Xenopus tropicalis: one gene and its partner. The protein of the gene in region 1 binds, or shares a complex with, the protein of each later gene. Links are inferred from orthologs where the notes say so. Each region holds a gene or a part of one and is shown on either strand. Other genes may lie near its edges.

The links. The genes of interacting proteins can lie anywhere in the genome.
Region 2: strip2 (region 1) and pdcd10 share a complex: the UniProt entries of both Homo sapiens proteins name them as parts of the core of STRIPAK complex. The link is inferred for Xenopus tropicalis from reciprocal best matches to the Homo sapiens genes STRIP2 and PDCD10.

The regions. Positions count from the first base shown.
Region 1 is NC_030679.2:87,158,264-87,161,913, reverse strand, and holds part of strip2 (striatin-interacting protein 2), read left to right. Parts: intron 1-255; coding exon 256-362; intron 363-1,645; coding exon 1,646-1,773; intron 1,774-2,714; coding exon 2,715-2,894; intron 2,895-3,569; coding exon 3,570-3,650. UniProt on the Homo sapiens protein: Plays a role in the regulation of cell morphology and cytoskeletal organization. Required in the control of cell shape. Calmodulin-binding scaffolding protein which is the center of the striatin-interacting phosphatase and kinase (STRIPAK) complexes.
Region 2 is NC_030681.2:112,895,071-112,899,454, reverse strand, and holds the start of pdcd10 (programmed cell death protein 10), read right to left. Parts: upstream 2,931-4,384; 5' UTR 2,836-2,930; intron 1,483-2,835; exon of another isoform or gene 1,326-1,482; intron 1-1,325. UniProt on the Homo sapiens protein: Promotes cell proliferation. Modulates apoptotic pathways. Increases mitogen-activated protein kinase activity and STK26 activity. Important for cell migration, and for normal structure and assembly of the Golgi complex.

The DNA of each region.
Region 1 (3,650 bases):
CGGGAGCTGGGGTTTTCCAGATTAATTATATCTTAGTTAGGTACAAGGTACTGTTTTATAATTATAGAGAAAAATAATTTTATAAAATTAAATGGAGTCTATGGGAGATGGCCTTTCCATAATTCAGAACTTTCTGGATAACAGGTTTCCGGATAAGGGATCCCATACCTGTACATACAATAATAAAGAAATATTTTTTAACTTAAAATTTGGGGGTGATTAGATATTTTTTAGTTGTTTTTTGTCCCCATACAGGGTTCTACTTAGTGTTATGTATCTGATGGTTGAAAATATTCGTCAAGAATCAGAGAATGATGACCCAGAATGGAAAATTCTACGTGCTAATTTCCGTGAAGAACTTGGTGAGGAGAGACTGTATGGATACCACTAAAACAGGCTTCATCAGTGTTTTTGCTTAAAGTGGTGACATAATTGGTGGCTTAGGACAAATATTTCCCTTTCATTTAATCTGTTAAAGGAGAAGGAAAGGTAAAAACTAAGTAAGCTTTATCAGAAAGGTCTATGTAAATACAGCCATAAGCGCTCACAGAAACGCTGCACTGAGCCCACTGTTAAAAGAAACAGGATTTCTTCTCTCTTTGTTTTCCTGTGCCAGAGTCTGTGCAGCTCTCTCCAGCTCCCCCCTCCCTCAAGAATGCTAAGAACGCCCTCCCCCCCCTTAGGGCCATTCAGCAGGAAGCTTCCTCATAGTCTTACAAACTGCGCATGTACAGGGGTCTTGGTCTTGGTGCAGGAGCCTGGCATTATGGGAATTTTCTTTACAGAGCTCAGCATTTTTTTTTCCTATGAGGCTTCTGATCATCTGAACAGGAGAAATATGGGGAGACTTAAGGGCACCACTGAGAGAACTGAAGGTATGTCTGCATCTTGAGATTAACTCTTTATTAGCCTTTCCTTCTCCTTTAATGGCATTAATGACTGGATCAGTGTGACTTGGCTATTGATGATCATGCACTAAACAACCATCTGGAAACTGGTATGTTTTAATAGGTTTTAATTGGGCCCTACACTTTAAAAGAAAAGGAAAGCTTTATCAGAAAGGACTATGTAAATACAGCCATAAGCACCCACAGAAAAACTGCAGTCAAAAGAAACAGAGTTTTTCTTTTCTTCTTCTGTGTACACATGTCTTTTAGTGTTAGACTTCCTTCTCTCAGAAAAATTCTTCAGGTCACAGGCACGAGCCTGCTCAGGTTTCTCCTGTCTCCCTCTCTCCAGAGATGTATTTAGGTCCGGTGCCTAGGGCTTATGGTGATATAGGGGCATAAGAAAGCATATTAGCATTTTCTGTCCTGTTAGAGAAAACGCCACATGTGAAATAGCCCTAAATAATCAGATCAGATTGTTAAGGTTTAATGGCCTTTTATCACAACACAGAAATAGTTTAGCAATATTATCCTTCAAAAATAAAATAACATTTACTGTTTGCATGATTATTCTATCCTGTGTAGTGTCAAAATATTGGACCAAATACAATTTTATGTTCCTAATCAGTGGAGAATTGTGCTTAATGTTTTTTTATTGGTTCTTGATACAATTTCAAATATTTTTAAAATTAATATTATATATGATAGAAAATAGTATTTATGGAGCATTTCATAATACACGTTGTCTTTCTTTGTAGCCTTCCCTGTGCATCCTGAGGAGCCATTTGCTCATCTCCTCTTTGCAATGGTGACCAAATTCTGCAGTGGTCATTGTCCCCACTTTCCCATGAAAAAAGTTCTCTTGCTGCTCTGGAAAGTTCTGTTGGTATGGTCCCAAATAATTTATTTAAATGTATTAATGACGAAATCCTATGCTACATATATTATTTCTCAGTTCTCTCATCTCATAGAAAAAAGAGTGAACAGAGAAATATATTTCTATTTTAAATGTTATAATGTTAAATATTATAGAATTACGTAAAATAGCTATTCTTTCCTAGAGACACCTAAAAGCCCCGCTTAAAGGATTTGGGTACAAACACATTTGCTGTCCTACATATTCTAGGAATTGGTGAATGAATGATACATCAATATTTTCCCTTATCTGGGACCATGGCCTAGGTTTGAACCTTCAAGTGGGGCTTGAACTGAAACACTTTGACAACCATTGTATTAGAAAAACCTTGTAATTCAATTTCAGATTTCTTAACAAACTTCAGTGTTGGTTTTCTTATTGAGCTGAATCAAGCACTATCTCATAAAACCTAACATAATCTTAAATATTGCATAAGTGCAGTATCAGACATAGAAATTTGTTGCGTATGGGAAATCACCTGTGGAAGAAGGCATTTAAGAAGGCATTTTACATGTGGTAATTCTTATTCTTCTGGACTGAAAGCTAGTTTCAATCCTATTTTCATGGATTAGAAGGAGTGATCTCCCGTGGGTTACAAAGCACTATGTCTGACATTGCCCTTTAAATATTAGCAAGTACCAAACACTTAATATGGGAAAACAAAAACTATATATTAAATATGTTCATGTATGGGTATATATGGGATATATTTTGAATGTCAAATTTATGCATCCCAATAACTGGGATGGAATTCAAAATAGGTGGCATATCAGCAACAGAGAGACCCAAACAGCATCTTACATGTATCTTATGGCATCTTACAGCAGCCCCACTGCCCCCTGTATGTGCAAAAGTTTTGCTTTAGAACCGTGCTGCTTATGCCACCCTGCTAACATTTTATTCCAATTAAGTTTACATTAGGTGGTTTCCCTGAGCTTCAGAGCATGAAGGAGAAAAAAAGATCAGAACTTGGCTTGCCACCCTTACTGGAGGACAGCATACAGGTGATGAAGAACATGAAGGCTATCTCCCCTCCTACTTATGGCATTGAGCTAGGAGAGCAGCAGAAACGTGGGCGCAGAAGTCGCAGGGTTAGTCTTTTTTCCTTGATATGCTCATACATTTTTTTAAAGTGATTTCATATCTTCTTGGCAATATGTTCTGCTTCTGCAGCCTCAGAATATGCCATTATTCACTAATCAGGGCTGAGTGTTAGAAATATAACAGCCCATCAAGAACATAGGCTTAGCAACTACCTTAGTCATTTTAAACCCTCATGGACTTCAGTTGTGCAGTCTCAAACAGCTGATTGAACTTGGCTTTGCCAAATATACATTAGTTGTGCTAATTATACTATAAAATGTGATATTTTACCCTATTGGGTAGTTTAGTGCTCTGTTTTTTTTTTTTTCTGTCAACAACAAGGTTGTTTGAACATACCTGTAACACTTCAACAACCCAATGATCACTGCATATGATTCATGGAATAATTTTTTACCAGGTTTTTAAAACCCCTTGAATTAACCTCTTTCTAAGCCATTTATTGCCATTCACTTGATCTTATAAACTGGTTTCAATATTGTATTGTATCATGTATAATTACCATGTCAGATTATGGTTATTAGAGCTAATAGTGAAAATAAAGGGGCAAGTGCTATGGACTAGCATTTGTGACTATTGCCTTCTTACTGATTTTCCATTAATGTTTATAAATGTTCTGGCTTTGTCAGCCATTTATTTAAACATTAATTTAAACTTATTTGCAGGACAGCCTTGATCTATATAATGAAAAGGATCCATTTAAGAATGACGAGTTGCAGGGGCCTGAAGAGGAAGAGAGTGAGGAA
Region 2 (4,384 bases), on another chromosome or scaffold:
TCGTACACCACCAACTATACGATAACTTAACGATAGCATCGGATTGTTCGGGAATCGGTCGTTTGTAAGTAAAAAATCGGTCCGTGTATGGCCACCTTAAGAGTGGAGAATCATTTAAGTCTTTGCAATTAAAGGTATATTGTATAGAATGTTAGGTCTTTTGTTGCAAACCCAAAAGCAAACTTTTTTTTTTTTTTAAGCCCTTTAACTACTTTTGAGTAATTGTCAGTTAATGTAATCAGCTTATTGCCTTTGTCACCATGACAAACCAGAGCAGTAAAAAAAGTGAGTAGGATTAACACCACCCTTGGATAACTGGATTACAGATTCCACAATTTACTTTAGAAAAATAAAACCATACCCTCTTGTAAATGCATCTTTCCTATTTGTTAAACATTATGCAGAATCTGTATTGCTCATTGACTAAAGGGGGTGGGGGAGGAGGGAAGAAAAACGTAAGGAAAAGGTGATAACCTTAATGATTAACAGAGATTTACACCCTTTCCAGACACTTAAAGCCTACATGAAGAAAAGTATAACTTTAGTCAGATGTCATAAAAACCCAAAGTTACACATTTAACCATTGCAAAGTTTCAGAGTGAGTTTTCAGCCAGTATAAAGCCACTTAAAATGATTACCTGAATGCTGGATTGCTGCCATAGCCCTAGAGAAAATTTCAAAAACCTGGATAGGCAAAGTTATCAGTGCCTATTTTCAAGAAACAAAGTTATGGTTCAGTCCCAGGTGTAGTACTACAAGTAAGACATATCTGGTATAATCAATGCATAACATCACCTATACACTGAAAGTACTTCACTAAAGGCTCCAATGAGAACAATGTCACAGACTGGATCATCACCAGATTTTAATGTGTGAGCTATACATACAAGTCTTTTGGTCTTTCAGCCAGTAATTCTATTTGTAGCTGGACTGGTATATAACTGGGCTGACCACTTTCTCAAACAACTTCTAGGTCTATGAACAACCAGCAACAATTTGCTGCTGCATTCATAGCATCCTGGTTTAGCTGTGGTATGGGATCATTTCTAGTGGATGATGCTTATAACAGATCTCTGCATTATGAAAGAACATTTAATTCTAATCAACTTTCCAGTATCCATCAATTAAAAACAAAATCAATGAATTTAAATGTAAATCTACTTCTATTCCCTATCTTCACTACTAGATCTGACTCCTTAAAGACGAAGCAGAAGCTACCTTATTAACAGACCTGTGAAAGAGAATGTAAGATCCTGGTGGGAACTGCTGGAGCCTTGGCTAGAAAAGTGCTGGCTCCTGCAACACTATAAAAAAAAGAGGCCTACCAGAGAACCAGGAAAAACCATAGTGGGCCCCAGTCCACATGGGTCCCTGCATCCCAAACTCCCCTGACTCAAACCAGCAGCTGCAATTCAACCAGGTCTAAGTTTAGAGAGGCTGGGTAATGGTCGAGGAGACTGTGAGGGTGGTTGGTGTTCCCAGTGGGCCCGGGTATCCTGTCCAACACTGGCAGAAAAGAACAAAACATACTACTTTCAAATGCAAGTAAAATTAAATGCTGAAAACTGTTACTATATATTGCAAAGTTTCTCAAAAAATACATGTTATTTCCTTATTAAAATAAAATTTATGTAGAGTTTGGTGAAGTTTCTCTTTAAAATATGTAAATGTAATCACTATTGAAAGCAGTCCTTAAGCATGTACCACTAAAACATTTTTGTAATCGTCTGTACTTCTACAGCCAAGACTCCTTTTCCCACAATGACTTGCATGTTTTGCAGCAAGTAAAGAAGAAAAAAGAAAAAGTCTGCAGGGCATTGTGGGAAATGTATTGACCCTTGGCATGGAGGGAAGTACTTTACTGCAACAATGTTACAAGTATTGTAGTCAGGACCAACAATGTATAGTATTTTTAATGGTAACTGCAATTACAAATAACTTTAAAGGCCAAGGAAAGGTAAAGTTAGCAGGCTGCACTGTACCAGGCCAGCAATGATACTGGGGTGATCCAGTACTTAAGCAACATTGGCCAAGTTGGACCCAGAAGCTCCAGGATGATGGCAGCCGAAATAAAGTCATTGTCTGGGGTTATGAGGGGCTGCTCTGCATAACTAATATTTAGTAACATTTTCACTTTCCTGGTCCTTTCAAATCAGCAATTAGTGTATATTGGAAACTTGCACAGACTGGACTTGGCTTTCATTATGCAGAATTCTATATTTAGGTTTACTTCTCCTTAACTCATACCACTCACTGTTAAGTGAACATTTAGTCAGTCAGTCATACCTTCAACTTATAATACCATAAATGTTAATATCAGCACCTTTGGAATCAGCAGTTTTCTTCGCCTTAATGAAGTCGCAATCTGCTAATGAATTTGACTTTATGGCCCCCAGTAAATAGCTCGTTTCCTGGTACGGTCTCTTGCCCATAATTGTAATCATTTATAGTTATATAAATAATGAATGAATGCGTGTTATTTTGCTCTGCCAACCCCCGAGCCCGAGTCTGGCCCTAACACACAAAGTTTCTCTCTATATATAGATACTTAATAATGCCTTGGAGCAAGTTTCAGTTCTATATTATGGGTTTATGAGAGCAAGCCGGGCTCTAATGTAGCCACGGAGGAACAGACTCCTCCTAGCTCTGAAGTTTGTGCGGTGATAAATAGTAGCCTTTGGCCTGACAGAGCGGCTCTTCCTTCCTCTCACTGACACCCCAGGCCCAGCTGGGATTAGCATTACTCAGCACAAGGAAGCTCCACAAACCCGGCAACTCTCACTTCAAACTGCATCGGACCAGCCGTGACACCAGAACCAGAAACCGGAGCAATACCTGTATATCCGGAGAACAGGCGAAGCTTCACCAGGCCCAGTGTCCACAACACCCCAGAACCTTATACCCAGGCACCGGAAGTTCGCTCTGAGAAGTGTCCGCCGTCCTGAAGAAGAAACAAGGCGTTGCCCGGAATCAGTCCAAAGAGTTTACCTTTCAGGAGGCCGACCTAAACATGTGCCGAGAACATAGGGAAACGTAGTTCTTTTCAATGATCGGCGTACAACAAGACAATCACAGGTGAACTACATCTCCCGAAATTCCGTTCGAGGTAAAGGCTTGTCATAACAAAACATGCCCACTTGTCAGATAGTACGCAAGGTGGGCGGCCTGCTCCGACCAATAAGCGCTGTGAAAGTGGGCATGTGCCGTTTTGATTGGCTAGTTAGTCGTGATGTAAGACTTACCAGGGAAGCTTGTGGTGCAGCTGAAAAATCTTGGGCTGCACTCAGCTGGAGGAGGCGGTGGTGTGGGAGCAGCTACAGAGGTGAGCGGAGAGTATCGCTTTAACCGCGCTGTGTATCCATGCTGTCATGCCCAGCTGCCATGCGTCTCCCAGGTCCTGGCATGCTCTACCCAAGTCTCTCTAATTGTAATGTGCAAATGGGGCTTTTCGCTCCGTTGTATTGTGACAGCTTGTAACATAGCAGGAGATGAGACGCAGGCTGGGGTGTGCTTGTGAGTGCCGTTATATTACAGAATGGGATTTCGGTGAATCATTAGCGCATTTGCACAGGTGCAGTGGTACCACACAGTCCCTCCTGGCATGGATGTGCTTCATTCTGTATGTTATAGGGATATATAGTTATATCCACTTATAGGGAGTCATTAGCCAGAAACACAGTTTTGGTAAAGTCCAAGTCAGTAATTGATGCTTTTGTGCTGCCCAGCCCCACTGTTTGAAGAGGGCACAATGGTTTGCACCTCATGACACAATAAAGGGTTATTTTTTCTTTTTAATGTCGTTCTGCATGGAATTAGTATATGTTGGCAAATGAAGTTGTATGTGCCTAGAGTGGTTATTCGTTATAGAGCATGCCTTTGGTATGCTGCCTTGTATTATTGTGTACAGTGCCCACTTGGGAGGATGAGTATTATGTGCTCACACCTTCCACACTGTGTATTTATTGTAATTTAAATATATTTAAGTTTCATAAGCTTTTAACAAGTTCCTCCACACACAAACTGGTTATTGTATAATAAAAGAATGTCATTCTAAGCAACTTTCACCATTCGGTAATTAAAAATCTCAGTGGCTGGTTTAAGGCAGGGGTGTAACTAGAGGGGAGAAGACCTTAGGAACGTGGTGGGGCCGCAGATAGAGTTTTATGCTATGCTATGCAATAGAAATGTATTTCTGTATATAGTGTGATTTCCCTCATTCACCTTATTTTCAATGTAATTGTTTACATAAAGCTTTCTATCTTTTATTTTTTACTGTTTCTCTACAATTTAGATTTTAAAGGGATACGGTCATGATTTTTATGGTGTACTTTTTATTTCTAAATTACACTGTTTATATAGCAAATAAGAATAATTTACACTACCA